7 linked regions of the Macaca mulatta genome follow. The protein of the gene in region 2 interacts with the protein of the main gene of each other region in a pairwise test. Links are inferred from orthologs where the notes say so. Each region holds a gene or a part of one and is shown on either strand. Other genes may lie near its edges. The genes, in order: CCNK, RBPMS, SF1, ZBTB32, RUSC1, AMMECR1 and QKI.

The links.
Region 1: the proteins of RBPMS (region 2) and CCNK interact in binary tests that used the Homo sapiens proteins (3 or more experiments, as listed by UniProt). The two-hybrid records come from large-scale screens. The link is inferred for Macaca mulatta from reciprocal best matches to the Homo sapiens genes RBPMS and CCNK.
Region 3: the proteins of RBPMS (region 2) and SF1 interact in a two-hybrid assay, tested with the Homo sapiens proteins (3 studies listed by BioGRID and IntAct). The link is inferred for Macaca mulatta from reciprocal best matches to the Homo sapiens genes RBPMS and SF1.
Region 4: the proteins of RBPMS (region 2) and ZBTB32 interact in a two-hybrid assay, tested with the Homo sapiens proteins (3 studies listed by BioGRID). The two-hybrid records come from large-scale screens. The link is inferred for Macaca mulatta from reciprocal best matches to the Homo sapiens genes RBPMS and ZBTB32.
Region 5: the proteins of RBPMS (region 2) and RUSC1 interact in binary tests that used the Homo sapiens proteins (3 or more experiments, as listed by UniProt). The two-hybrid records come from large-scale screens. The link is inferred for Macaca mulatta from reciprocal best matches to the Homo sapiens genes RBPMS and RUSC1.
Region 6: the proteins of RBPMS (region 2) and AMMECR1 interact in binary tests that used the Homo sapiens proteins (3 or more experiments, as listed by UniProt). The two-hybrid records come from large-scale screens. The link is inferred for Macaca mulatta from reciprocal best matches to the Homo sapiens genes RBPMS and AMMECR1.
Region 7: the proteins of RBPMS (region 2) and QKI interact in binary tests that used the Homo sapiens proteins (3 or more experiments, as listed by UniProt). The link is inferred for Macaca mulatta from reciprocal best matches to the Homo sapiens genes RBPMS and QKI.

Annotation. Positions count from the first base shown.
Region 1 is NC_133412.1:172,832,246-172,836,166, reverse strand, and holds the end of CCNK (cyclin-K), read right to left. Parts: intron 1,807-3,921; coding exon 1,181-1,806; 3' UTR 451-1,180; downstream 1-450. UniProt on the Homo sapiens protein: Regulatory subunit of cyclin-dependent kinases that mediates activation of target kinases.
Region 2 is NC_133413.1:32,278,963-32,282,883, reverse strand, and holds part of RBPMS (RNA-binding protein with multiple splicing), read right to left. Parts: intron 2,886-3,921; coding exon 2,735-2,885; intron 1-2,734.
Region 3 is NC_133419.1:9,632,372-9,635,108, forward strand, and holds the end of SF1 (splicing factor 1), read left to right. Parts: intron 1-416; coding exon 417-754; 3' UTR 755-980; coding exon of another isoform or gene 981-1,183; 3' UTR 1,184-1,975; downstream 1,976-2,737. UniProt on the Homo sapiens protein: Necessary for the ATP-dependent first step of spliceosome assembly. Binds to the intron branch point sequence (BPS) 5'-UACUAAC-3' of the pre-mRNA. May act as transcription repressor.
Region 4 is NC_133424.1:46,949,416-46,953,788, reverse strand, and holds the start of ZBTB32 (zinc finger and BTB domain-containing protein 32), read right to left. Parts: upstream 3,032-4,373; 5' UTR 2,758-3,031; intron 1,801-2,757; 5' UTR 1,751-1,800; intron 1,531-1,750; exon of another isoform or gene 1,322-1,530; intron 1-1,321. UniProt on the Homo sapiens protein: DNA-binding protein that binds to the to a 5'-TGTACAGTGT-3' core sequence. May function as a transcriptional transactivator and transcriptional repressor. Probably exerts its repressor effect by preventing GATA3 from binding to DNA.
Region 5 is NC_133406.1:111,658,678-111,662,839, forward strand, and holds the start of RUSC1 (AP-4 complex accessory subunit RUSC1), read right to left. Parts: upstream 2,531-4,162; 5' UTR 2,402-2,530; coding exon 1,036-2,401; exon of another isoform or gene 765-1,035; coding exon 354-764; exon of another isoform or gene 1-353. Other genes in the region: putative uncharacterized protein RUSC1-AS1, read left to right, coding at 2,610-3,596; FDPS (farnesyl pyrophosphate synthase), read right to left, coding at 3,578-3,778. UniProt on the Homo sapiens protein: Associates with the adapter-like complex 4 (AP-4) and may therefore play a role in vesicular trafficking of proteins at the trans-Golgi network. Signaling adapter which plays a role in neuronal differentiation.
Region 6 is NC_133426.1:117,106,489-117,110,961, reverse strand, and holds the start of AMMECR1 (nuclear protein AMMECR1), read left to right. Parts: upstream 1-1,630; 5' UTR 1,631-1,643; coding exon 1,644-2,116; intron 2,117-4,473.
Region 7 is NC_133409.1:8,729,828-8,734,538, forward strand, and holds the start of QKI (KH domain-containing RNA-binding protein QKI), read right to left. Parts: upstream 3,040-4,711; 5' UTR 2,592-3,039; coding exon 2,450-2,591; intron 1-2,449. UniProt on the Homo sapiens protein: RNA reader protein, which recognizes and binds specific RNAs, thereby regulating RNA metabolic processes, such as pre-mRNA splicing, circular RNA (circRNA) formation, mRNA export, mRNA stability and/or translation.

The sequences.
Region 1 (3,921 bases), on a different chromosome or scaffold from region 2:
GCCCTTCAAGCACCTCAGATGGGGGCTCAGTCGGGGCCCCTTCCACAGACACAGCCCTGGCCCCTCAAGGTGGATGGCGAGGCCGCTGCTCCTCCAGCTGCCTCCGTCTCATCGCAGGCCAGAAGTGGAAAGGGTTTCAAACCCAAGCCTGTGTTCCCGTCTGTGTTCTATGCAGCAAGGCTTGAAAGTTTCAAGCTGGTTTGGAACTCAACCAGGTCCTCCAAAGGAAACCAAGGCAGGCACAGGATGGGTGCAGGCTGGCTTGGCAGGCCAATGTGCCGATCCACCCAGAGTGCCCTGGGAGGCAGTGGGGTTGGCTCTGGCTCCTGTGAACTGCAGCCAGGCCTCTCCCGGTGCCCAGGGTCCGGAAGGAGGGGCTTGTACAATGTTATCACCCGGGGACTGCGAAGGCCTGGAGCCCTACCTTCCACCCATTAACAGAGAAAGGGATAGTTTCAGAACTGCTTTTATTTGGATAACTGACTGAAGGAGTCTCATTTGTAACCAAGATGGAATTCACAGTATGTTGTTACATTCACACTTAAAAAATGTATCTCTATGTACAGGAATTTGCAAATAGATGTAAACATACATTACTTTCCAAGTACATTTCTCCCCTTCTCCTTGGAGGAAAAAAAGCCATCCAACGAGGCAACCCCTTCAAAATGATTTTAATACAAAGGATGCAAACATCTATAAATCAAAAATGTGGTTCTTCTGACCCTTCTGGGTGTCATGGGAGAGAACGTCATTGAATGAAAATGACAACAGCTTGACTTCAGATGGAATTTGACTATTTAAAATGAGTTTCCAGGAAAAGTAGGCACTGATTTCTAGAAGGAAATTAACTCCTTACCGAAGCTATTTATTGAGCCAATATGGCTGGTTAACATCTTCACTAGTATAAAGTAACCCAGTGCAGGACTCTCAGACATTAGCTGAACCAAGTGTACACAGTCAGACTGCAAGGGCGCTGATGAGGCTACTCTGAAAGCTGGCTGTCCCCGTCCTCTAGATGTGAGGACCACCCTGATTTTATCCCAGGGGCCTGGTCCATTCTTCCCATACTGCAACTGTCGCGCATTATATAAGGTACCCTGCTGCTTACCCACTTCAACTACTCTGCAAGTCGATTAGAAAAACTTGTTAAAAAAAACAAAGGGGGAAAAAAAGGCTCACGTTATCTCATCCAGGCTGCCCGCCCCAGTCCCCCAACTGGAGGCATGCCAGGTGGGGGAATGGGCGGGGGCACAGGGGGCTGTCCTCCAGGGGGCACGGCAGGAGGTGGGTAGCTGGCTGGAGGCAGGCCCAAGCCTGGAGGAGGATGAGGGGGGACTGCATGGGTAGGGGGCAGGCGTGGAGGTGGGGGTGGGAAGTTGGGGTTGTAGGTGGGTGGGGGTGGAGGGTAGCCAGGAGTAGGGGGCGGGATGGCAGGTGGGGGGAAGGAGGCTGGGGGAGGAGGCACAGGTGGTGGGGGCGGATTGGGTGGGTAGACATGGGGGTGGTAGGGCAGGTGTGCAGGTGGGCCGTATGCGGGGGGCAGGGCGCCGTAGGAGGGTCCCTCGGTCTTCATCATGGACTGCAGGCTCTGGTAGCCCTCTCCAGACATGTAGGAGCTGGTGGTGGACATCCCAGTCATGTAGCTGGAGGGCGGCGGGGGCGGGGGCCGGTGTGGCAGCGGCGGTGGCTGGTGCACAGGGGCCGGGTGAGCCGGAGGAGGAATCTGGACTTTGGGGAGGTCAGTGGCATCCACAGGGCCCGGCGGCTCAGCCTCACCTAAGGCAGCAGCGAGGGGAGGCTTCCGGTCTGCAGGAGAGAGATGTGTTGGTGCCCGGCCTCTGCAAGCAATAGCTGCTTTTTCAGTGCCTCCTGGCCCTTCAGGGCCATCTTTACAGAGGAGCAGGGAGCAGCTGCCCCTTCCTCTGTGGCCCAACACATGGGCCCGTTCCCCATGTCCTGATGCCACCAGATGTCTCCCCACCATTTGTCAAAAAGGCCCTCCACCCTGTCTGTGATGAGCTGGGGTTTCCCTCCCTCAGCCCTAACCACACCACCCGCAGGCAGTCTCGGCAGCACACGAAGCCCCCTTGTGCCCTGGCCCCAGCCCCCTCTTCCTAGTGTAAAATGTGTGGGGGCTCCTCTGTTTTTCTGCCTTCAGAAACTGACCCCAAGAGTCAGGGCCACACTGAACTCCTGTCTGCAGCAGTGGCATTTTGCAGAAAGCCTCAGAGTTGGTCAAATGAATGTGATGGCATTTAAAATAATTCCGTACAAGTCTCTGACATTCCCAATGTACCCATCGAAGCAGCAATTCAGGTTCTATTCTACTCAAGAGGGGTTAGATCAAACCCCACTGCGTACTCTCAGATAGCAGCCTCCTTGAGAGGAGTGTGTGCAAGCGTGCTGCGCGTGCGTGCTGCGTGCTACGTGCTGCGTGTGTGTGCATGCTTCGTGTGTGTGCGTGCTGCTGTGTGTGTGCGTGCTGCTGTGTGTGTGCGTGCTGCTGTGTGTGTGCGTGCTGCTGTGTGTGTGCGTGCTGCTGTGTGCGTGCGTGCTGCTGTGTGTGTGCGTGCTGCTGTGTGTATGCAGCAGGGATAGGCAGCACTAGGTGTCAAGCACACCCAAGATACTTGTGCTCAGAACCAGCCTCAGGCCCCTCCCGCAGCGCCTCCCAGCCCATGAGCCCTCATGCCCCCTTCCGCCAAAGCCTTATTTAACACATTTTGGCCTGTGATCTCTTGGTCACCATCAGACCCCTGGAAAATGGCGTCGGAACACCCCACCACAAGTAGCCAAACACACAGAATGAGTGTCCTTTCCCAAGGCAGCACAGGAGACAAACCATAGGCACAACATTTCTGGTTCCAGAGAACATAAAGAGGACAAAGGCCATGAAGATGCTTCTGGTTCCCCAGGCACTTGGGTTAGGGAAGGCAGAGCATGACATCCTGGTTGTGTAGACGTGGCCATTGGCACACAACCCGTTTGATCTTGCCAAAGCGAGCATGAGCAGGATTGATTGGGCTGGTAACAGGTGTGCCATTGGGGACTGCCTGTGCAGATCAGCCCTCGCCAGCCACTGGGCAGGAAGGCCATATATGCCTGGCCTTAGAGAACTGGCTTTGGCTCCAGGTCAGGGCCAGATGCCCTGTGGTTCCAGAAGCTGACTAAAAAAGAGGTGCAGAAAAGCGCTGACACCCTTCAATGCCTCCTGTGTGTCATTCCACAGCCACCTGGGCCACAGGCCTGCTCCTCTACCTTGCAGAAGCCAACTCTTCCAACACTCGACCCTGCAGCCTGAATCTTCAAGTCACCAGTGCACCCGCCCTTGTGCTGTGTGACTGAGCTCGAACAGCAAGTGGGGGTCTATCCTCGGCACCCCATTCCCTCTGTACACTTGCTCCTGACCAAGTGCCATACACTGCCACCAAACCCCTCCCTAAACATCACTGCTGACCTGAACACCTCTTCCCATGGTCTAGGGCCTCCCAGGAAGCGTGCTTCCCTCCGTTCCTCGTGGCCCAGCTTTACTGTGCCTCCCAGGCCCTGCTCTTTCCAGCCATGGCCTCCTGGCAGTGTATCTGGTTCCCAGGTCCCACTCAAGTCCCAGGCCTACTCCTGGCTGTCTGTAATGTGGGAGGGAGCAGAGCTCTGAGGCCTCCACAGCAGCTACTCAGTGCCCTGGAGGCAGCAGCACCTCTCTGGCCGCCCCGGGATCCCCAGGTGAACCATCCGTCTCCTCAGTGAAGGCACAGCCCCAGGCTTGGACCAGGGGAACTGTACTTGGCGAGGAGGTGCTCCTTAAATGCTTCACGAGCAGCCGCAAGCATTTTTTTAAGTAAAGTTCATATTGAATTGGGGGTTTTGGGATTTGGCCCAAAGTGGAAAATGACGCCTCTGTTCTCCCAAAGCACAAACACT
Region 2 (3,921 bases):
GCCTGAAGCCAAAGTTCTCCACAGCAGGCCACCATCTACCCAGGTTAAGTTGCAACACCTGGTTTTCTCACTCTTCATCCCTGGCACAAATGCAGTAGGTGCTCAGCAAATATGGAGTCTGATTGGGGGCAATCTCAACCAAGCTGCAGAATCTGTTTTATGTCCTTCATATGAGACCAAGTTTTTCTGACAACTTTGACTATCATCAACTCCTCAGAATGACAGCTCTTTAAAGGCAGCAACCAATTTCCTTCTTCTCCAGAGTCCAGCACACTGGGTGCTCGTTTAAGTTCATTAAGTTCAGATATATGGAGAATTCAGAGTTCAAGTACATGTTTGTTGTATAATCAAACCACAGAACATTCTTCTTTTAGCGATGGCAACGAGTGCTTTTCAGCCACTACCATATAAAAAATTAACAAAAAGAAACATTTACAAAAAACCTCTATGGCCTACAACAAAGATTAGCCTTCAGGGCCTTTCCAATCCCCAAATTCTGCAATTCCATTATAGTCTACACCTGATTAGTTAAACCGACCACCTTGAGTACCCAATTCTGAGTACAATGCAACTGGGCTTGTCCGTGTAAACCCAACACAGTGTTCTTAGTCTTGCGGTGTGCTTCCAGGTAAGCAAGTTTATCTGACGGGCAAGTTCCCAGTTCCCAGAGGGAATGGCGATGGATAATAAAGTTGACCTGAGCCACAGTGGACTTGCTCTTATCAAGACGTTGTGTCGTAAAAATGAGCTATATTAAGATAAATCATGCTGACTTTTATTTTCCTCAAGAATACACTGCTGGCTGCTTGGATTTATTTATTTATTTATTTATTTATTTATTTAAACTTCAAATTTGTGTTGCTGTCAACAGCTGAGCAAGTTTTTACCCTGTCATGGAAACTATCTGGCCATTTTTGTACTGTTCTGTATGCTGGGAAGGGAGATGAGTAGAGCTTGCCAGAAAAGAGTTCTAAGCTCGGTTACTATGCTGTCCTGTAACTTCAGGGACTTGTGAATGTTCAGTTTGTTCCTATTTGTTGCTTTTGTATAGCATGTTGTGACCTGGCTACAACCTTCCTGGCTACCTATGTCACAGGGCTGTTGTAGGAAATTCACAAAAAGTTTTGTGGGCCTGTTAAAAAGAGCATTCAGCAAAGAATTGAGGATGTAAAGTTAAGTATCACCAGCATTACGTTTCCTGTCTGAATTAATCTTTTCAAAGAACTCTGAGATCTGAGGTTGGCAAATTCACTAAAAAGGCAAAGAATTACTTTAGGTTATTTTTACAAATTCAGGCATCCTAAAAATACTCTTTTTTGATGCCTTGATCAAGAGAGAAGAAATTTCAGAGAGAAGAGGCATAGAAATCCATCTGTAGTTCTACAAGTAGCCCAATTTCAGTATCAATTTATCCACTCACTATAATAAATATTAAATACATACAATATACAAAGTATTAAGCTAGATACTCTAAGGATGAAGAATTATGTAAAGGATGTTCCTATATTCTGCTGTATTACAAGTACACTGTAAGATGTAACTTTTGTTTAGATTTCCTTCCCAAATAAGTAAGCAAAGTTTTCTAGTTTCCCTGGGACAAAGAAGGTGAAAGAACAAAATAATTTTTTCATCTATTATGACTTTCTGGATTCATAGAAACATTTATTTTAGAACATTCTGGAAGACTTATCTATTAGTTTCTACTGATGAGTAGCAAGCAAGAGTGACTGAGCTACAGAATGGCTGTGACTTCCAAAGATAACCTGATTAAATCTGACATGCATGTGACATGGGGGGAGCAAGGAATCCATGTGTCCTTCAATTTCAATAAGAAGAGTTAAAAATGTATTATCAAAGGAAGAAGATCACAATCGTGTGGTTTCGAAAGCAGACCAAAAATGACAGGACAGAAATATTCCAAATAACTTGGAATCCAAGTCATTTGGGTTTCCTTGAATGCCCTGCCATATTAAATCACGTATGGCTCTGTAATGAAAGGAAAAGTTAAGGCCTGTCTCATGCCCCATTTCTGCCACTGACTGAGCTTGAGAAAGAAAATTCAATCTTTTAAAGTTATTCAATGAAAGGCAGAAATAATGAAATAAGCTTATTAATGTGGGGTAGAAGATGTCTTGAGCAATCAGCCAGTGTCCTTATCCAATTAAGTTGAAACAGGAAGCCCCAAATTTCCTTAAAGTTTTGCTGGTATTAGTTTGCTAGACTGACTGTTCCAATATATAAATTCTTTGTGTGTGTTTACTTTTCCCCCTAGAGTTATGGCTAAACTGAATAGAACCAACTTCCTAAGATCTGCTTCTTTCACTTTTAATATCCTATTTTTCCAAAGCCACCGAGCTGATGTCCTTCAACAAATGGATTAAAGTGAATGCTGAGAACCAGCTCTCATGTCTGAGCATGGAGAAATAAAGGGTTTATACCCAAGGCAACTAGGGGCATACTCACAATGGTCAATGTCACATTAAGGAAATCTGTAGTACATCAAATGAAATTCTGAAGTTATGATTCTGTTCAAGCTGAACCATCTTTTGGGACAGCCTATTGCAAACAAGATTGCTGTATTTGGAATTCTGACACCAAGAACGCCTAGGCAACCTCTTCACAGAAATGGAAAATAAGACTCAGCCAGCTCCATGTCCCGTGGTGTAACCTCACATGCAGCACACGAACGGTTCTTAGTTATTATTATTTTTAAATGAAAAGTAGATCGACTTACATGGCTCTCTGGCAATGAACTGAGGTACAGTGTTGGGCAGAGGAGTACTGGGGTTTGGAGTCCCTACGAGTTTGTTCTTGGCCATCTTCGTGTTTGCCTTAGCAAACTCTAGTCGTAGTGTTTGCGGAATTTCAGGATCGAAGCGGATGCCCTTTGGAAACAGAGAACAAATGGAAGATGTTTTCATTTCCTTAGAGTCAAACCGGAATGGTGACAAAATAAACACACCAGTAAACCCTGGTCTATCAGGAAAAAAGGTCAGCAACCACTGTCATTCTTACTACTTACACAGGTTACAGGAAAAATGACAACACAAAGTGTCCTGAAAGTCAGTGGTATTTAATTTACTTAAAAAATGTAGTTACACAGATTTTCAACTATTCCTTTTCTTTTTAGACAAAAACTTTCCAGTTTAAAATTTGAACCAGGAAATTCCTAGCACAGTTATACACTTTAATGTATAGTAATTTCAGTTACCTTTGACCCTATTCCTGCAGTTTACCTAAAACAGATTATATTCAGTAAAATAAATCACAGACACTATGAAAGACAAGTTAGGGCAAGACAAGTCTATTTGGAATCCTTCCACCATTCAAGAATGCCTTCATTATTAAGCATCCAATACCATGAATTCTGGACCCTACATGTCAAAAAGCTATCCCAAGAGAGTGCATTTTAAATATGCACCCATGGGACCCACTCAGTTCCCATGTTTTCATGGTGGGGTCTGGAAAGGGACTGGAGTCCTGAAAATGAGTCTCCAAAGACCACAGTTGCCATTTAGTGTTCTGAATGTATACACATGGGCCTGAGGGCTCCAAAGCATCCCCCGTCCCCTCGCCACCGTTCTTCCTAATGAGCTTGAAAAAAAATAAGAGCAGGCAGGGTGCTGTGGCTCATGCCCTAGCTCATTCCCGTCATCCTAGCACTTTGGGAGGCCAAGGCGAGTGGATTGCCTTAGTTCGGGAGTTCAACACCAGCCTGGGCAACATGGTGAAACCCTGTCTCTACTAAAATATAAAAAAAAAATTAGCTGGGCGTGGCGGCATGTGCCTGTAATCCCAGTTACTTGGAATGCTGAGACAGAATGGCTTGAGCCCGTGAGGCAGAGGTTGCAGTAAACCAAGATCGCGCCATTGCACGCTAGCCTGGGTGACAGAGCTAGACTCTGTCTCAAAAAAAAAGAA
Region 3 (2,737 bases), on a different chromosome or scaffold from region 2:
GGTGCATGCTTGCTCTGGCGAGGGCTGTGATTGGGGTGAGAGACTGCAGAGGTGGGACCGGGCAGTGGGGAGAGAGCAGCTGTGACCTTGAGGTTGAATGTGCCGTTCGGTGGTGGCGGCGGCTGGGCGGAGGGACATCAGAGCTGTTCTTGTGTCTGGTACCTTCCCCTCAGCCCTTCCAGGGGCATTGGTGACAAAGGGCTTACTCTGTTAAGCCCAGAGACCTCGAGGCTGACCCCAGGGTAGTCGTGCCCACCCCTCCACTCCCCATCACCAGCCCCGCCCGCCCGCCCCCCACCACCGTACCGCATGCCAAGCAAGGAGCAGGCGCCCCTCGCCCCCATCCCAAGGCAGCAGCCGCAGACAGCCGCGGTGTGCCCCCGCGCGTGTGACCTTGGGCTTCTTTACCACCCCAGATACGACGACTACCACCACGAGCGCTGGCACAGGGTCCATCCCGCCATGGCAACAGCAGCAGGCGGCTGCCGCAGCTTCTCCAGGAGCCCCTCAGATGCAAGGCAACCCCACTATGGTGCCCCTGCCCCCCGGGGTCCAGCCGCCTCTGCCGCCTGGGGCCCCTCCCCCTCCGCCGCCTCCACCACCTGGTTCCGCCGGCATGATGTATGCCCCGCCCCCTCCTCCTCCGCCTCCCATGGACCCTTCTAACTTTGTCACCATGATGGGCATGGGGGTGGCGGGCATGCCGCCCTTCGGGATGCCTCCAGCTCCCCCACCGCCTCCACCACAGAACTAGACTTGTTTTTTAAGAAAATATATATTATATATAGAGAGAATTGGTCTCGTTTAAACACGCCGAACCTCACCATATGGAGCCAGACATTGGGACGCACGCATGTGATTGTGTGTGCACGCATGTGTGTGTGTGCACGCACTGGGCTGGGCCAAGCGACTGAGGATTCGCTTGGGAACGGGCAGGTGGTAGTAGGGGCGCCAGCTTGAGCTCTCCTGGCGCCCCGTAGCATCGAGTGTCTTCTTTGTCTTCTTTCTCTCCTCACCCAACTCCCTTTGCCTCTCCCCAAACCGGGCCGCCAGGATCCCTCCCCGCGGCGGCGATGGCCCGAGCCATGAGAGTGAGGACTTTCCGCGCCCATTGGTGACCCTTCCAGGCAGACAGCCTCAGCAACGCCCCTGGTGGACAGGATGGTTCGGCAAAGCAGCCTGAGTTATTTTTGTGGACGGAATCGGAACACGCTGGCTCCATATCGTGAAATTTTTATTAATTTTTTTTTCTTTTTCCTTTGTTATTTCCTTATCTCTTCCTTTCTTCAGACTCCGTCCAAGGAGATGCTCTCCCCGGTCTTCTGCTGCAATTAGATTCCTTTCCCTTCTCTCCAGTTCTCCTTCCCTTACCAAGGAGAGGGGAGCAAATGGTTTTGGGCATGGGCTGCAGCCATTCATGTCAAGCTGGTTGTGGCGTTCTTTGGTTCTAAGTTTTTCAAGGCGCCATAGCCACCCCCGAAGATATTTAAAGTGTGAGGTTTTTTAGTCTCTGCCACCCTTGTCAAGGGAGTCTTGTACGGTTGCCGAGGGTAGGTTCATTTCCAGGTTCCAGGATTCCCATCCGCCCTGGCGCTCCTGCCAGCAGTGGGTGGGCAGCCTGAGCTCCCTTGGGCTCGCCTGCCAGCCTGGAGTTCTTCCCGTGCTCCTTGACCACCTGAGCTGCCTCAGATTCCATTTGGTCCTCTCCTTCCTGGAAGGCTTTCTTTTGTGTTTTATTTTAATCCCAAATGTCTGAATGTTTTGCAGTGTCTAGGGGTTTGAGCCCCTCGTTTATTCTCCTTCCTTTTTCCTCCCGCTTCCCTTTCCATGGAGTGATTATGTTGATGATAATGTATACTGCGCGTTCTCTTCACTGGTTTATCTGCAGAAATTTCTCTGGGCTTTTTTTGGTGTTAGATTCAACACTGCGCTAAAGCGGGGATGTTCCATTGAATAAAAGAGCAGTGTGGTTTTCTGGGTCTGCTTCTTTATTTTTAATGCCCCCCCCACCCCCTGCTTTTTCTTTTCACATAAACTTCCTCTACCAGCAGCAGCAGCACCAACGTTGCCTTAACTTTTGTTCAGCACCTGGTCCGGGGGTGAGACTGTGGGTGGTTAATTAGGGAAGCCCACCACCTGCCTCCTGTGTGTGGCTTTGGTGGTGGGAGCTGAGTGTGTGGGTGGCTCCACAGTCTCCCCTTTGGTGACTAGTTAACATCGCTGAGAACCAATTTTGCCCCTCCTTGGTCACCGCTCATCTTTCTAGCCTCTGTCCTTTGAAGGCCTTTTCCTGGGGCTCAGACCTCCATGTTTGATGAGCTCCAGTGGTGATTTGTGCCTGGAAGCTGCCACCTGACTAAGGCCCTGGGCCTAGGGAGGCATCAACACTAAAGGTCAAGCCAACTAATCCTGCCTGTCAGGCACAGAGCAGCTAAAATTAAAACCGCCAAGTGGCTTTTTTCCTTCTCTGCTGGTGACTTGCAGCCTGCCAGCACTGTAGGCTTGGGGTGGGGGGGCAGGGACAGGATAAAGTGCTCCACCTTGTGCTTTGCCAGCACTTTTCGAAGGGTCTTCTGCTTTTTTTTATGTCTTGGACAGTGAGTGGGTAGTTCCTGTTACGGTTCCAGAGAAATCCATGTGTAGTCTCCACCAGGTAGTGAGGTCCTCTCCTGGGGAGAGGTGCCTTAGAGCTGCCCTGGTTCCACCTGCCTCTCCTTCCTTCAGGACGGCTGAGGGA
Region 4 (4,373 bases), on a different chromosome or scaffold from region 2:
GGCTTTTTTTTTTTTTTTTTTTTTTTTTTTTTTTGAGACAGAGTGTTGCTCTGTTGCCCTGGCAGGAGTGCAATGGCATGATCTCGGCTCACTGCAACCTCTGCCTCCCGGGTTCAAGTGATTCTCCTGCCTCAGACTCCTGAGTAGCTGGGATTACAGGTGCCTGCCACACGCCCGGCTAATTTTTGTATTTTCAGTAGAGACAGGGTTTCACCATCTTGGTCAGGCTGGTCTCGAGCTCCTGACCTGGTGATCCGCCCACCTCAGCCTCCCAAAGTGCTGGGATTACAGGTGTGAGCCACCACGCCCGGCCACCCAATCCTAGTTCTGTACAGAGCCACCACAGGGTAATAATACTTCATCCAGGGCAAACAGCTTGGCTGAGATTCAGAACCCTTCTCCCTAGAATCTCCAGAGGATTACTGGCCTAACCTCTTGGCCACATCATCCAACCTGGACCCCATACTGGGAAATCTCCCAAGAACATCTCAACCTGGAGTCCAGAACATTCACTCCCAGCCCAGGCTGGCTCCAAAGACCCCAGAAGACCTTCAAGTGAACACTAGTTTCATCTCTTGGCCAGTGACTTTCTACGTAACTTTTTTTTTCCTTTTCTTTTTTTTTTTTCTTAAGACAGGGTCTCGTTCTGTCGCCCAGGCTGGAGTGCAATGGCACAATCTCGGCTCACTGCAACCTTCACCTCCCGGGTTCAAGCTGTGCTCCTGCCTCAGCTTTCTGAGTAACTGGAATTACAGACATGTGCCCCCATGCCCAGGTAATTTTTTTTGGAAACCTCGTAGAGACAGAGTTTCTCCATGTTGGCCAGGCTGGTCTCAAACTCCTGACCTCAAATGATCCACCTGCCTCAGCCTCCCAAAGTGCTGGGATTACAGGCATGAGCCACCGTGCCCGGCCCCTACATAACCTTTGGAGATCCTCAGGCCTCTCCTTTCAGTCACCAGATTCAGGCTCAGTCCAGAGACCCCTCGTAACCTCTCATTGTCCAGAGGCCATACCTCATGGTCAATGACCCTGTGCAGAGCTAAGGGCCTGCAACTTCCCCACAACACCCTTCGCACTCAGGCTGGCCTCAGGGGCCGTGGACCAACCCAGAGGGCAAGCTGGCTTGGCCTCTGCCAAACCTAGGCCTAAAGGTGGCCAGGAGGCTGCATTTCCAGCCTCTCAAAGACAGAGGAAAGCCCTAAGGGCTAAAACCCTCAACCCGCACTTCCCAATCATCAACGGGGCCAAACTCCCACACCCCAGCTTTGCCTGGGCCAGGCCCAAGCCCAAGAAAGTAAAGAAAAACTATGGCACTCACCGGCCCAGACCCTGTTCCTCCTTCCCTTTCAGCCTCACATACACTCAGGATGGCTCAAGGCCGAGTGACCGTTAAAAGTGGGGAGTGGAGCGAGGCCAGGGACGCAAGGCTCCCGCACGTGGTCACCCCCAGATCCTGAGGCGGACGCTGATTGGCTGCAGCGCGGGTCGCACTCTCCCGCTCAGGCCAGCTGAGCACGCTGGGCAGCATGGGAGGCACCTAGGACAGCGCCACTCCCGCGCGTCTGTCTCTGACCTGCAGCTGATTGGCTGTGAAGAGGCAGGGCCTTGAGTCTCATTGGTCCGTAGGCTTCAGGCCTCTTAGGCTGAGATTTCATTGATTTCCAGCCGGGCTCCAGCGTTGATTGGCTGTGGAGTCTGCCCTTTCCCACTCTCTCCATGAAGAGACTGGACCCTGATTCTCCCTTACCTGAACAGCCCTGGAGGCTCCCTCAGCAAGTGCTCCGGAGTACCACTGTCCTTTTTTTTAAAAAAAAAAAAAAATTATTTCATTTTTATTTTATGAACAGGGTCTCCCTCCGTTGCCCGTGCTGGAGTGCAATGGTGCAATCATAGTTCACTGCAGCCTGGAACTCCTGGGCTCAAGCAATCCTCCCGCCTGGGCCTCCCAAAATTCTGGGACTACAGCCGTGAGACACCGTGCCTGACCTGCCTTTCTTGCTTCTATTTTGCCTCCCTAAGTAGCTCCCATTTGCAAACCCTGTCACCTTTCTCTCAACCCTTTACCATCTGGGAAGTGTGTAGGGGTGTGTAGGCTGCCGCCACACCTGATTGGCCTGGAGGCCCATAAGAGCAAGCCAAGGCCAGGCACTGTGTCTCATGCCCGTAATCCCAGCGCTTTGAGAGGTCCAGGTGGTAGTAGGATCCCTTGAGCCCAGGAGGTCGAGGCTGCAGTGAGCTATGATCACATCACTGCACTGCAGCCTGGGTGACATAGTGAGACCCTGTCTCTAATAAATAAAGATAAAATAAAAGAGCCAGCCAGGCAGGGCGCGGTGGCTCACGCCTGTAATCCCAGCACTTTGAGAGGCTGAGGCGGGCGGATCATCTGGAGTCAGGAGTTCGAGAACAGCATGACCAACATGGTGAAACCCCATCTCTACTAAAAATACAAAAATTAGCTGAGCGTGGTGGCGGGCACCTGTAATTCCAGCTACTTGGGAGCCTGAGACAGGAGAATCGCTTGAACCCCGGGATTGCAGGGAGCCGAGATCGCACCACTGCACTCCGCCTAGGAGACAGAGCGAGACTCCGCCTCAAAAAAAAAAAAAAGTCAGCCAGGCTTCGGTGCCTGTGGACAGCTCCCTTTTCTCTCCTCTTGTCCTCTTGTCCCACTCCACTACGACTGCTGGCACAGCTCACTCTGCCTCGCCTGGACGTGTACAGGGACAAGGAAGACACAAGAGGGGGCAGTACCTTGCCCGGTGATTGGCAGTGTGACACTCGCACTTCCAATTCCCACTGCCACCTCGACTGTATGCTCAGCCAGGAGTAACGGCGCGCGGACGTGTCAGCACTCCCGCCCACCACCCCACCGCAGAGGGAACGGCCGATTGCGCTGCCCCAACATTAACTGGCCCGGGGATTAGACTCCCTCCAGCAGGCTTTCCCCCTGGGCAGGGCTTCGGGGCTGACAAGCTGCGAGCTCGCCCCTTGCCAATCTTCCGAGGTGCTTGTCTGCGGGCCTTCTGGCCCGGCCCCCGCGGCGGTTGCACCGCTGATTGGCTGGCTCCGCTCCTTTCTAAGCGGCTTAGCCCGGGATTCATTCTCAAGCACAGCCAATGAGACGCCAGGGCGCCTCAAGGAGGCGGGCATGGCTCCTCCGCTGCCGCCTCTGACTGGCCCTAAGGCTCGTCTTCGCTTTAAACTGACCAGAGGGCAGCGGGGCGGGAGTTTAGCGCAGCAATTTCAGGCTGTGATGAGATTTCGGTCCCTTCCCGCTACGCGGAGTGTTGGCGCGTCCTTCGCAGCCGCTCGCTGAGGAGTTCGAGCGGGGGGGAATGGGGGTGGTCAGGAGGCAGGAGAGCACCTCGCGGAAGAGCCTGGGACAACAGCCAGAGCTGTAGGTCTTGACAGAGACAGCCTGAGGCGTCCCTGGCCCCAATAGGGAGCGAAACCGCTAAAATGGGGGAAGGGGCCGGGCACGGTGGCTCACGCCTGTAATCCCAGCACTTTGGGAGGCCGAGGCGGGCAGATCACCTGAGCTCCGGAGTTCGAGACCAGCCTGACAAATATAGTGAAACCCCGTCTCTACTAAAAATACAAAAATTAGCCAGACGTGGTGGGGGACGCCTGTAATCCCAGCTACTCAGGAGGCTGAGACAGGTGAATTGCTTGAACCCGAGAGGCGGAAGTTACAGTGAGCCAAGATGGCGCCACTACGCTCCAGCCTGGGCGAAAGAGCAAGACTCTATCTCAAAAAATAAAAATAAAAAGTAAAGTAAAAAGGGGAGAAGGACTGGCGCTGTGGTGGGAGTAACAGCACCTCGCGTTTATCCAGCCCTTTCCATGTGCTACGCTTGTGCATCAACTCGTTGAAACCTAAATAACCTAAATAACTAAAGAGGTGAAGTCGTTTTTTTTTTTTTTTTTTTTTTTTTTTTGAGACGGAGTCTTGCTCTGTCGCCCAGGCTGGAGTGCAGTGGCGCAATCTCGGCTCACTGCAAGCTCCGCCTCCCGGGTTCACGCCATTCTCCTGCCTCAGCCTCCCGAGTAGCTGGGACTACAGGCGCCAGCCACTGCGCCCGGCTAATTTTTTCTATTTTTAGTAGAGACGGGGTTTCACCATGGTCTCGATTTCCTGACCTTGTGATCCGCCCGCCTCGGCCTCCCAAAGTGCTGGGATTACAGGCGTGAGCCACCGCGCCCGGCCTTTTTGTTTTGTTTTGTTTTTGTTTTTGTTTTTTTTTGTTTTTTGTTTTTGTTTTTTGAGACGGACTCTCGCTCTGTCGCCCAGGCTGGAGTGCAGTGGCGCAATCTCGGCTCACTGCAAGCTCCGCCTCCTGGGTTTACGCCATTCTCCTGCCTCAGCC
Region 5 (4,162 bases), on a different chromosome or scaffold from region 2:
ACGGAGGGTGTGACCCAAAGTCCCTAACAACAGACTCGCTGGGACCCCCTAGGCTTGGCATGGAGGCTGGGTAAACCCGTGTCCATTATGCCCAGGCGGGTCTGGAGGGAGAGGGGACCGGGCCATGGAGCAGGAAAGGCAACAACTTCCCCTCTCCAGCACTAGGAACGGGGCCAGATTCCCCAAAACCGACGAACTTGCTTGGAGTCCGCCGAAACGGAAGGGCGGGACCAAGCTGGGCAACCCCAGAAAAAAAGCGAAAATGGGGCCGGGCGATAGTGGGAGGGGCCTTGGAGCGGGCGGGGCGGCCCGCCTGAGGCGTGGCCCGCGGGGCTTGCCCGGGTCCGTCTTACGTAGCCTGGGCGGAGGCGATGGGCTCCTGGTCCAGCGAGGGGCCTTCGGCGGACGAGGTTGCGGTGGCAGCGGGGGGGCGGGTACCTGGCGGGGTGGGGGAGCCGCGGCGGGGAAGGTGCTACTTCTGGGAAAGAGCGGGGACAGCAGCAGTGCCAGCTCGGGGCTGGCCAGGCAGGGCAAGGCTCCCCGAGTCGGAGGCGAATAGGCTCCCACTGGGGACAGGCGGACGGGCAGCAGCTGCTCCTCTGGGGGGCTCGGCGCCCCCAGCAGCCGCAGCCCAGCGCCAGGCCACCCTGCCAGAGGAGCCAGGAGCAGAGACCCAGCTGCGCCTGCGCCCCCACCCTCCAACAGGGGGCGCCCGTCGGCCGAGAACCGGAAAACCAGGGGCCGAGGGAGCAGGAGGGGACCGGCTGCAGGCGGGATTGGCGGGGCCAGGCGCAGAGGGAAGGAGGGCAGCGGGATGGGCAGCCAGGCAAGGAGGGGCGGGAAGAAGAGGGAGCAAAGAGTTAGTCCCATATCCCAATGACCCACCCAGTTTCCCTTTCCCGGAGCGCTCCCTGGTAGAAGGGGCGGGGAGGATGGGTGACACAGAATGGAGGGAAGACAGGGGGCCGGGTTGGAAGCCTAGGAGGCGTGAGCGGCCGAAGCCCAGCCCTCCTCCCGCTTCTTGCGACCTCTTACCCTCCAGGCCGGCCTGCGCGCCCGGCTCTCCCGGCTCCTTCGCGGCTGGGGCCTCCTCGCCAGCCGCTGGGCTGACAGCCCGGCCCTCCTCGGACTGCCCCTCCGCTATGGGCTGCAGTCCAGGTCGGTTCTTCTTCCTTCGGGGAGGGACAGGCGGGGGTGGGGGCCGGGGCGGGACCAAAGCCCAGCCAGCTGGGGGGTCTCGAGGCGGGACTGGCGGGGGTGGGGCCCGGCTTCGGGACCGGAGTTCCTTGAAGGTGGTGACTTCCCGAGGAGGTGCCGAGGAGCCGCCCAGCGACCCCGAGGGGGGCAGCTCGGTGTCGGGCGAGAAGACTATGAGCCAGTCACTGCGATCTTTCTTGGCCTGCGGGACGAGGGGCAGCCCTGGGCCCCGCTTGCGCTTCTGGGCCAGCTCGTGGAAGGACGTGATTGTCCGGTGGGGCACCGGCTCCTCGCTGACGTCACTTCTCCATCCTCCATCAATTTTCCCTGCATCTGTTTTCGAGCCAGAATCAGTTATTCTTGTGTTGGTTTTCCAACCAGAGTCGAATTTTTCAGGTTCATTTTTCCAGCTAGAGTTAACATTCCCGTTGTTTTTCCAACCAGTGTTACTGTTTTCCGTGTTTTTCCATTCAGCTTTAGTTTTCTCTGTGTCAATTTTCCAAATTGGGTTAATCTTCCAACTGGGCTCCGTTTTCCCAGCGTCGATTTTCCCATCATCCGCCTCTAAGAGCTCAGAGGTAGGGAGATCCTGCTCCGCGCTCTCATCCTCTTCCTCCAAGCCTGGGGAAGGGAGGTCCTGGCAGGTGGTCAGGGCGTTGCAGTTCGAGTCCAGGCCAGGATCGGGTGAAGAAGAAGCTCCGGAGCAGGAATCAGGAGAGCAGCAGAAGCTGTCCGGTGAGCAGGTGCCAGGGCCTGCTGAAGCCAGTGGGGAACCTTGCTCCAGGGGGATGATACTGGGCTGAGGGTGGGCATCCTCATCACCAGGGAGGTCCCGCAAGTAGACTGAGACGGGGGACTCATCGGGGCTAAGATCTGAGCAGGAGCTGAGCGAGGAAGAGCAGCCTGGGTCTGAGGGAGAGGCAGCCCCCTCTTCCTCCTGTGATGGGTCCTGCCGGTTTTCTAGGCCCGGACCGTGCTCCTGGCAGCACCGGCAGGGCACAGCTGGGCTGTTGGAATTGGCGTCCACCAGGGTGCCACTGCAGGGGCCCCTGCTCTCCTTGCCCCCAGTGTCTCCTGGGGGAGGGGATGTGCTCAAGGGCCCTTCCCGTAGCTCAGGACGGCGGGACAAGTGCAGGCCCAGGGAGACGTGCTGGAGATGGATGTGATTGAGGTTGCAGAGTAAAGCTCTCTGAGGAGACAGCATGGTGCCAGCGGCGATGGGATGGCTTCTAGAGAACCAGGAGGGTAGGGTCTCTCACATCCACCTACCTGGCAACCACAGGTGCAGACCTAGAAGACAGGGGTGGCGAAGCCCAGCCAGTGAGGACAGGAGCTGCGGGAAGGACACTGAGGTGACTGACGGCAGCAGCAGGCCTGAAGGCTCTGGCTGCTTTGGAAGATATTTCAATGAGATGCAAATCGCAATCGACTGGCCATTAGTTTCCACTGCAGTGTTTGCAGGTGGAGTCGAATGTAACCCTCCGGGAATGGAGCCGGGAGGGTCAGAGAACGCGGCTGCGCTCTGGATTTCCGAAGGGGGGCGGGGGCCCGGAAGAGGTCCGGGCCCAGAATGGACCTCCGGGTCCCTGCTGCCGCAATCTGGCCCTGCCCTCCTGCCTACCCCTTACTCCCACAGGAAGGGACCCAGGGAGACCCACCCAGATGCCCTGAAAGGAGGCGGGGGATGGGGGTGGGTCGATATGCAGAGTTTGCCTGGTGAATGCAGGAAAGGGGTGGGAGCTGGAGAGGAAAAGGATGGAGCAGCCGTCAGCTCGTCAACTCCACATCTGCTGGCTGCCTCCGCCGGGCTCCAGCCTGCGCCCTCGCCCCTCAGAACAGCGGTATGTCCATTCTCTCCGCATTCGTCTCCATCGTTCAGTCACCACCGCACCCCTTCTCTATTCATTTCTCCTGCTCCCTTGTCCTGCCCCGCCCCTCGTGCCCTGGTCCATCGGCCTACACCCATGGGCCGAGCCCTCCTCACCAGGGTCCTCCTGGAACCGCTCCGGCCTTGGGCTTGTCCTCGGCTCCCACGGTCCCCGCCCGGCGGGGCACAGAGCGGGAGGGGAGGGGCACTAGCACAACCCACTCTGCGCAGCGCATCTGCACCCCTTCGCGCATGGGCGTGGCGTAGCTCAGACCCGCCCCCAGCGCTTAGCGTCTTGTGTCACCCACCTAGCGGGTTTGATGTATCCCAAGCTTTTGGCCCTGATGCCAAGGCCCCTGGGTCCCGCTTCTGTGCAGCGAGTCCTCCCAGCACCCCACCCCGCACATTCTGGAAAGAGCCAGACTCTGGCTGCGCCGAGCAAGAACAGAACCACAAAAAGGTTACACAATTATTTATTGAGAGCCTCCTCTCCCCATCCTTGCAATCTCTAGGTCACTTTTTCCGCTTGTAGATTTTGCGCGCAAGCCCCAGAAAGATGGCTGGGGGCAGGGGCGCTGCGTACTGTTCAATGAGAGCCATAATGTGGCTGTAACTGTCCTCCTCATATTGCAAGAACACAGCCTGCAGATCCAGCTCCTCATATAGTGCCTTCACCCGGGCCACTTTCTCAGCCTCCTTCTGCCCGTAATTTTCCTAAAAGGGGTTGGAAGACAGGAAAACGGGCTTGGCCTTCCCCAGAGCCTCCAGGACCCCTCCACTCCTCTCATTCTCATATTTCAGAACATCTCCAAAGCCACCCACTCCTTTCCTCCCTCCAATTTTCTTTTTTTTTTTTTTTGAGATGGAGTCTGGCTCTGTCGCCCAGGCTGGAGTGCAGTGGCCGGATCTCAGCTCACTGCAAGCTCGCCTCCCGGGTTTACGCCATTCTCCTGCCTCAGCCTCCCGAGTAGCTGGGACTACAGGCGCCCACCACCTCACCCGGCTAGTTTATTTTTTTGTGTTTTTTAGTAGAGACGGGGTTTCACTGTGTTAGCCAGGTTGGTCTCGATCTCCTGACCTCGTGATCCACCCGTCTCG
Region 6 (4,473 bases), on a different chromosome or scaffold from region 2:
TGAGGTTTAATAGCCTCATCTGTTAATGAGTAACCTCAGAGCATTGTTGTGAAGATAAAATGAGATAATATCTTATTCTGAAGGATTATGGGGTAGGACGAGGTATGGTACTGGGCACCTAAAAAACGTTCAGTACATACTATAATAGCTATTTATCTGATTATGTGCATGTATCTGACTTAATTCATAAACTCTTTGAGAGTGGGAGGCATACTTCCTGCGCACGCCCTGGATTTCAACAGAAGTATAGTGTTGTGCACATAGTATGGTGCAGAGGCTCAATATTACTGAATGAATAAATTGTTTTGTTTTTATTCCCTGAGTGGAATGAACAGCCCCCAGCTATCTGCAAGATCCCACGCATGTAGATAAAAGGTGACAAAAACCAATCTGCAGTTTTAAAATATGCAGATACCTGACTTTATCTAGATGTTCTAGCATGGTGTAGATACAATGCAAATAACTTACGCTTTCTATCAGGTTCATTTCTACAAATTTTAACATTTATTGTCATTATTTTTATTATTAAGCTACACTTAGGCACCTAGAAAGGGACTGACTCATATGCCTCCTCATCCATCCAAGCATTTAATTGAGAAATTTTTAAAGTGAATATTAAGAGCTAATTATATACTTAAACAAAATCTTTCAATTTGTGACTAAGTACATTACCTTCCCTATTTATCTCTAAGATCTGAGCACTACAGATAATATTCCTAATTGCTTTTTACCCAAGCCAAGAAATAAAAACCAAAACCAGAAAAGTCCACCACTGCAAGTCCCAAAGCACAATTAATATCTTTGAACCAGTGAAGTATTAGTTAGGACTTTATTTTTGGCTTTTTAATGTTTACAAACGGCTAGGAGGGTAAGTCGGGGGAACAAGTACAAGATACATCGATTCAATCGGACTTGAATATTTCTCCATAAGGAAAGGAAAGAGTACCCTGGTGTGTGCTTAGGCTGGAATTAAAAAGAGCAGCGTGGCCATTTCCCCGACTGCTTTGTACATACTTAACAGGGGCGGTCTCAGGTATGGAGCTTCAGGCACCTGCTCGCTCACACTCCAACAGTTCAGAAACCCGTGTATTTGAGGCCGGGTGGCTCAGGTTCCACGTAACTGGGCTTAAGTGTCATTAATACTACTTGCAGCGGGGGTCACTGAGCTGTGCTTTGGGACCTGGATGCTCACTTCGGACTTTCTCCTTTCTTCCCCCCTGCCCCCACTAGTTTCCCTTTCCCTCCTTCCTTCCCGGGCGTGCCCACCTCTTCCCTTAGCTCCCACTTTCCACTATCTGACTCTTGTTTCCTTCACCTTCCTTTCTAATCGGCTTCCTGGCTTCCATCCTCTGCCGGCCGCAGAGATTGAGATTCGGGCTGGGGCTGGGGCTGCGGCTCAGAAGAGGCACGAGTCCGGCGGGACAGGCGCGAGGCGCCCAGCCGCGAAAGCGAGGAGCGCGCACCGAGGCGGGGGCGCGCGCGGGGCAGCCGCGTGGCTAGGCAGACGGGGCCGGGAACGGCGCGCGCGCGCCCCGCCAGCCTCTGGCGCGCCCCCGGCGGCCTGGGCCGCAGCGTGCTCGCCCCCGCCGCCAGCTCGCCTCACTTATGGGTCGGAAACGCTGCGTGGGGGAGACTGTTCCAAGATGGCGGCGGGTTGCTGCGGGGTGAAGAAGCAGAAACTGTCCAGTTCGCCCCCCTCTGGCTCGGGTGGCGGTGGTGGCGCCTCCTCCTCCTCCCACTGCAGCGGAGAGAGCCAGTGCCGAGCTGGGGAGCTGGGACTAGGAGGCGCCGGTACGCGGCTCAACGGGCTGGGAGGTCTAACCGGAGGAGGTAGCGGCAGCGGCTGTACCCTCTCTCCCCCCCAGGGCTGCGGCGGCGGCGGCGGGGGGATCGCCCTGTCGCCACCTCCGAGCTGCGGAGTGGGGACCCTACTTTCTACCCCGGCCGCCGCCACCTCTTCCTCACCCTCCTCATCGTCCGCCGCCTCGTCCTCATCGCCGGGCTCCCGGAAGATGGTGGTGTCAGCAGAGATGTGCTGCTTTTGCTTCGATGTGCTCTACTGTCACCTGTACGGATACCAGCAGCCCCGGACCCCCCGATTCACCAACGAGCCCTAGTGAGTACCGTGCCCTCCGCCGCCCTCTCCCTTGCGCTCGGGATGGGGCTCAGAGTTGAGGCAAAGTGCGAGTCCGCCTCCCGGCCGGCGGATGCCCCTGCCCTCTCGCTGCCCGGGTCCCCGGAGCCACTCAACTGAACTAAGGGCACCCTGCGCTTTTTGCCCTCCGAGGCAGGCACCCCACACTTGGAGCAGGGTGCTGCTGCAAGGGATGGCCCCGTGGCTCCTAGAGGTGTTAGCTTTCTCTTTGCGATGACTTCGAGGAGTTTTGACCCCTTTACTTGTCTTCTTCACCACCCCTACCACCCCTCACCCTGCCCCGGTTTTGGAGATCTGGGTTACTCAAGGTGTTGACCTCTCCTCACTTTGGTTTCCGTTACCCCAAGTGAAAGCCCCGCCAGTATTCCCGCCCCGCGTACCTTGCACATGGAGAACTACTATCCCATTGCAGGGCGAAAAATAGCAAGTATCCAACTTCTGTTAGTGATGGAACTTAGCTCTGGAGCTTGTGAGGTTACCCATCTTTTCCTCTGGGTTTCCTTGTGCCCTGGGAAAGGGGGAGGTTTCTTAAAACACATTTTCCCTTACTACTTATTTTTATCCAAATACACCCATTAAAATGTGTTTCTCGTGAAGCGAGCGCACTGCCGGCTTCCTCACATTTGAAGAGTGAGACCTTTTTTTTTTTTTTTTTTTTTTCATTCCACTGTCTGGATAATAGCTCATTCAAAGAGAACTGTCCCCACAGAGCCACTGTCAGTTTGTACATTAAGCGTGCATTCGCTTTTGTGTCGATTTCACTTTTTAAGAAATCCATGTTATACTCGATGATTTGAGAACAGTTAAATAGTAAATGTGTAGGAATTGTTATGGTTTCCTTTGGTTTTGTACCTTAAATTATCTTACCCTTCAAGTGTGTGGTTGAAAATTTTTAAATAGCACTGTTACAGCTAAAAGCCAGGTTAATTCTAATCCCTGTCCATTTGCATGTGTGGGAGATGGGGCATATGGTTTTTTTTTTTAATGTGTAAACTGAATGTAAACTGACTTTTTGAGTTAAATGCTAGACAGAATGTAAAGACCAAGAGAGGGCAGAATGAGAAAAAGTGCAATTGCTTTTATTTGAGTACTTAGCATCAACAAGAAAAATAATACAGGAAAAATTTCAGTGAAACTCGTACTGAAAGGCATCACCCCCTTTTCCAGCTAAAAGTGCCGCTTGTCCCCCATATCATAAATACCTTAATTGATGTTCTTTTAAAACTGCTTCATTTTGTGAGATTAGAGGATTGGACTACTATTGTATAAGTATAAACACTTCTGCCTAGACTAAAATATTAATATGTAAAGTGGAAATTACAATAAAGTGTCCTGGAAATTGTGCATTTGTACTGTTTGTTTTATTTGGCTTTTATTCTTTAAATGTCTTAATTTTGTATGACTCTTCTGTGGTCTGTGCATTTTCTTTTAGACTTGGTTAATCTTTGGGCATTGGTTCATGAGAAGTGCATGAAAGAGCATCCAGGAGAACACTTTGTCAAACAAATATCTTTATAAATTTCATAGTGTTAATTCTAGAAGCTTAAATCCTAAGTCCACACCTTTATTTAGCCAATTAATTTTTTTGGTTAAGAAGTAAAATTGATTTTGAAAAGACTGCCATGTAAAAAAATCTATGAAATATTTATTAGCTTGAGTCACTTATTTGTGACTTTTCTGCCTTCTCTTGGATGTCTTTGATATATTAAAGCTAGTCCTGGGATGATACTTAGGTTGGCTCTGCAAAGTCATGGGACTGCAAAAATTCACTCCTGTTTAGTTCTTGAGCTGTTACATGAGTTTGGCAAAGGCTGCTTTAGTATTCACGCTCCATTGCTCCAAAGCATATGAGAACACACTTTCAGGAGGTGCTATTTTCACACATTTTAAAGTGAGTTTGGGTTAACTCAATGACTATAGCAAGAATTTTAAAAGGAAAGTGAGCTTGACCAGTTCATACAGAAAATGCTTTTGAAAATTTCATTTTAACAGTAGCCACTTTGCACACATATTTAGATATTATTCTCTTCAAACACCCCAGCCCCTGGATTTCTTTTTCATGGAATTAAGCAGATGATAGGACACACTTTTGACCGCTGTGGATATGTTGAAACGGTGGTGGAAGAAGAAGAACTATTATCATTTAGCAGACCTTGAATGTGTCAAGTATTCTATAAAATAACTAATGTAGAGTAGACACTGAAGATGACCAAGTGGAGAATGAAAGTTCACTTAAGTGGAAAATGGACTGTCTTATTTCCATATATCTTCAACTCATTTTTGAGGTGTACTGTGGAAAATTCAGGAAAGCTTCCTCA
Region 7 (4,711 bases), on a different chromosome or scaffold from region 2:
GCAAAAACTAAAGACAGAGTAAGATGAGAGATGGAGTAAACCACATTAAAAGGGGAAGGGGAAACAAACATTATCTAAGCGATATCATAGTGATCTCCTACATTTAAAACGCAAATGAGAACTATTTCCAACCAGAGAGAAATAAGCCTTTGTTAGAGATAATGACATAATTAACATTTCTGGATTTGAAAGATTAAAAATTATTAAAGCCTAAGGTTGGAAACTTGATAACAAGGAATCAGCTCTAAATTTAGAGATTTTAGATCAACACAAAAGCACAAGAAGCCTTTTAAAACTAAAGAAACTCAAAAGTATGCAGTTTTTTAAATAGTATACATAAGGTGAAAGTATTTTCACATTTTTGGAATCTCCTACAGTCTTTGAATTCAACATTTCAAGAATACAATTTAATTTTAATTAACCCTAAATATTGTCAAGGCCTATTTTCATTTTATCGTCGATAAAGGATTCCTTCTAAACAACTGCACTCAAGAAAAAAAACTTTCACCAGAAATTGTTACTAATATTACTAAAACTTTAACTTAACCGAAATATGCCAAGGAGAAAATATTAAGAGTGTTACTTTTGAAACGTCATGAAGTTGTGCTAATAATTTTAAGGAAAGTGTTTTCAATGTTCGAAAACACTATATAAACACATGACAAATCAAATAATCTATAATTTAAGTTTCAACTAAATTTAATATAGGTCAGATTACTGAGTATGTTACACATTTGGTTCCAACCATTTCCATGGTTAAAAAATAACTGGCGCCCCTTAGCGCTCACATTTGGAAATACTCAATTTAAGAGTTCCAGCAATTTTTTTTTTTTTTTTTGACATTCCAGAAAGTTTTCTGCCTCCACAATCTTTCAAATGCCAACACAAACAGGAAAAGCAGAACCCTTTAAAGGGACAGCTCAAGTTTTCTCTGGAGCAACTTGAAATTAACAGATTTGCTGTTCCAACAGTGGAAAATGCCCATTTCAATGCTGGTGAGTGCTGTATGTTTAACATATGGAAGCAAAACGACGAGAAAGCCGTAACACCTAACCATTTTCTACTTTTAAGTTGTTTCTTTGACTTTCAAGACAATAAAACTCCAGGGATTTTTCTTTAATCATCTTTTTATCATGGAAACATTTCCGGCCTTTTGTTCTCTAATGACATTCCAACTCCCCAAGCTTCAAACTCCTGTTCCCCGACTCTATTTTTAAAATCTCGAAATTCTTGCGAAAAATCTAAACTCCATTGCTCATCTCTTCAACCTAAAGTTTTCAGTTTCCTTTACACAGTCCTCCGGTGATGCCTCTGAGCAGGAAAAAAAAAAAAAAAAAAAAAAACTCCTGGCTAGTCGATTTTCGAAACACTTTTTTGTGGTCATTTATTTTTGTCTCTAGGCGTCCACAGAAACCCACAGCTACTAGAAATTAATACTCCAGATACTGCTATGAGAACTTCTTAAGGAAATTCCAGAGTTGGTCAACATTAATCTTCTTGTCATTCTTCGCTCCCCACAGCGCTCCATAAAGCTTTTTGAAAACTTCGGCTCAATTTTATTTCGCCCTTTCCAAACGTCTCGATTCCCTGTCCTACAAACTCGGGCGGCTGCGTCTCCGGGAGCAAACCCTCCGCCCAAGTTCTTCCTAACTCAGGCTGCGCTCCGATCTGTCATCGCGTTATTTCGCACTCCACCCCCCCCCCACCCCCGAAAAGTGAAGTTCAACTCCCTAACAGTTCTCGCTTCCCCAAACAAAAGGGAAAAAAGTGCTTTTCGCCGTCACTTCGTCCTCCTTGTCGGCTACGCCAGCATAATTTCGGTCTCCTATGGAATTTCTTTAAACTAACGAGCCCCACTCTGACTTCCACTTAGTATTTACCAGCTGCTCCAACTCCCCAAGCACGAAACCCCGCTTTAGTCCTCATGGGAGGGAGAGAGCTCCCGAACGCGGGGCAGCGGGGGTCCGCGCAGAGCAAGCTCAGGAGGTCGAGGAGAGGAGCGGGGCCCGCGCCGGGGACACGCGCGTCCTCCAGGCCGGCGGCGCGGCGTGGGCCTGCTCTCGGGAGGGCTTGGCGAGGACCACCGAGCCCGCGCAGCCCCCGCTGGCCTCTCGGAAATGTGACCGCCAAAGCCAGAGGGGCCGCAGGGTTCGCCCCGCAGCCCTCCGCAGCGCACAAACTTGGGCGCCAGCGGCGCGGGGTCCCGGGCCGGGCAGGGGGCGTCCGGCCCCGGCGGGTCCACCCCGGCCCGCCCGCCGGCCCGCCCGCCCGCCCGCCGCCGCCGCAAGCCCGGCCCGGCGCCTCCTTTGTGCGCCCTCCTGGCCTCCCAGTCCCCCCGGCGCGCGGTCCCGCCCGGCCGTGACCTTCCCGCCCTCCCCACCATCCCAAGCAGGGAAAGGGGCCGCCCCGGCGGGGATCGGGCCGGGGCCGGGGCCCCGGAGACGCTCACCTTCGTCCAGCAGCCGCTCGAGGTGGTTGAAGATCCCGCAGAAGTTGGGCAGGCTGCTCATGAGCTTCTTGTCGTTCATCAGCTGCATCAGGTAATCTGGGGTGGGCTTCGGCTTCTCCTTCGTTTCCATTTCCCCGACCATATTCCAGGCTCCGCAGCTCACTCCGCCCGCCGCCGCCGCCGCCGCCGGAGAGGAGGGAGGGGCGGGGGCGAGCCCCGGCCGCGGGCCGCTCGGGACCCGGCGTCCCGCTCCGCGCCGGCTCCCGCTCTGGCTCCCGCGCCGAGCCCCGGGGCGGCCGGCACCGCGCGCTCGCCCGCCCCCCGCAGGCACTTTCCGCCCGGGCCCGACGCGCTCCCAGCCGCCGCCGCTCTCGGCCGCCCGGCTCGGCGCGTCCCTCACGAGGCCGGCGGGCGGGCGGGAGGCGGGTCTCGGCTGGCCGAGTGCGGGCGCAGGGCGCGGGCCGCTGGCGCCGGACGAGGAGGAGCCGGGGCCGCCGCTCGCTCGGCTGGTCGCGCCCGCTCAGCGCCGCCGCCGCCTGTGCCGCGGGCTCGGGGGGTCTCTCTGGGCTGGTCCCCGCCGCGGCGCCTCTGCCGCTGCCGCTGCCGCCGCGCTCTGACTGCGCTCCTCCTCTTCCTCCTCCTCCTTCTCCTCCTCCTCCTCACTCACTTGGCGGCGGAGTTCGCCTCAGTTCAGGCGGCGCTGCCAGCGGCGGCGGCAGCAGCGGCGGGGGGGGAGGGGCGAAGGCGCGGGGAGGGCCGGGGGCGGGCGGCGGGCGGGGCCGCGCAGGGCGGCCGTTAGCGGGGCCCGGCCGGCGCGCTCCCGCTGCCCGACGCCCCCCGACCCGGGCAGCAGCCGGCGCCGTGCCCCCTCCTCCCTGCCTCCCTGGCGGGGCGGGCGGCGGGGGCGACGGGAGCGTGACGGGCGGCGGCGCTCGGCGGCCCCGGGCCTGGGCGCAGGGACTGGGTCGCCGCCGTGCGGGGCGCCCGGGGCGGGTGGGTGTGGGTTGCGGGGCTGACGGCCGCGGGGGGGCGCGGGGCTCGGGCGCGGTTGGGGCTGGCGCGGCAGGCGGGAGGAATTCCAGCGGGACGCGCCAGCGCTGCCTCCGCCTCGCCTCCCGTTACTATAGTTTTTTCAGAACCTCTCATCCACCCCGCAGAAAAGAAATTTTTTTTAACGTCCTGTTGCTTCACGGGGGACTTTCGGGGTGGGCATCACGTGGCCCGACACGTAGCCATGGGGCTCCAGAGCGCGTGCGCGCGTCGTGCCCCGTGGCCACGCCCCTTCCGAGGGTCGCTCCGCCCCCGCCGGGCCCCGCGAGCGCGCGGTGGGGGAGGGAAGGGGCCCGGAGCGCGCCTGCGTGGGGCGTGGGCGGGGCTGGGGGCGGCAGCCGCCTAGGGGCTGGGGCTGCCCGTTTAGGGCCGGGTGCTGGCCAGTCGCCCACGGTGCGGAGGGCTGGTGGGCTTGCCCTGGCCGTCGGGCCCGCCACCTCGCGGGTCTTGGCTGCGGGGCGGGGGTGTGGCGGGGGAGCCGAGGACTGGAGTTTGAGGCTTTCTGAGGCGCGTGCGGCGGCGTCCGCCTCTGCGGGGTAGGGCGCCCGTCGCGCCGGGCTCCCGCTTTGTCGCCGAGGGAACCACGCGCGACGCCCCTCCCGTCGCCGCCGTGGCTCCCTTCCGTGTTCGTGATTTGCTGAGAGGCTGGAAAGCAGCACGGCGGAGAGAAGCCTCGCGCTCGCCAGGCGGGGAAGCGTGCGCGGACACGCGTGCGCACCCACGGGGCGGTGGGCGGGCGTGGGGGGTCTGGGCCAAGCGGTTGACGCGCCGCCAGGGAAGCGATCTTGTTGCACCTTCTCGTTATTCTGAAAGCAAATCGTAGCGAGACCCGAGCGCAGCGGCTTAGCAAATTATAAGGGGAGCGTTAGTCGTGCTCGAAATGCTTCTTTCGCGATGGCATCAGTGTTCCGTGAGGGAATGAAGCCGCAGTAGGAAAGAGCCTGTGCGCGTAGTCTGAAAAGCAGAAGTCAACATTTTTACAGATGAAGAAAGAATACGGAGGCAAGAGGTCTTTCTCTGCAGTGTGGTGGATTTCCAACATTTAGATTTGTTTGGAAGAATGTTCTGAGCTGCAACAATGAAGTCCTCCTTGATCTATAGAAGTCGACAGTCCCTAAATCTACATCTGCATCTGCATTTTGTTGCAAATCCTTTATAACATTCCATTAAAATAATGCAGTTATTTAATATCCAATTGATACTGAGTAATTC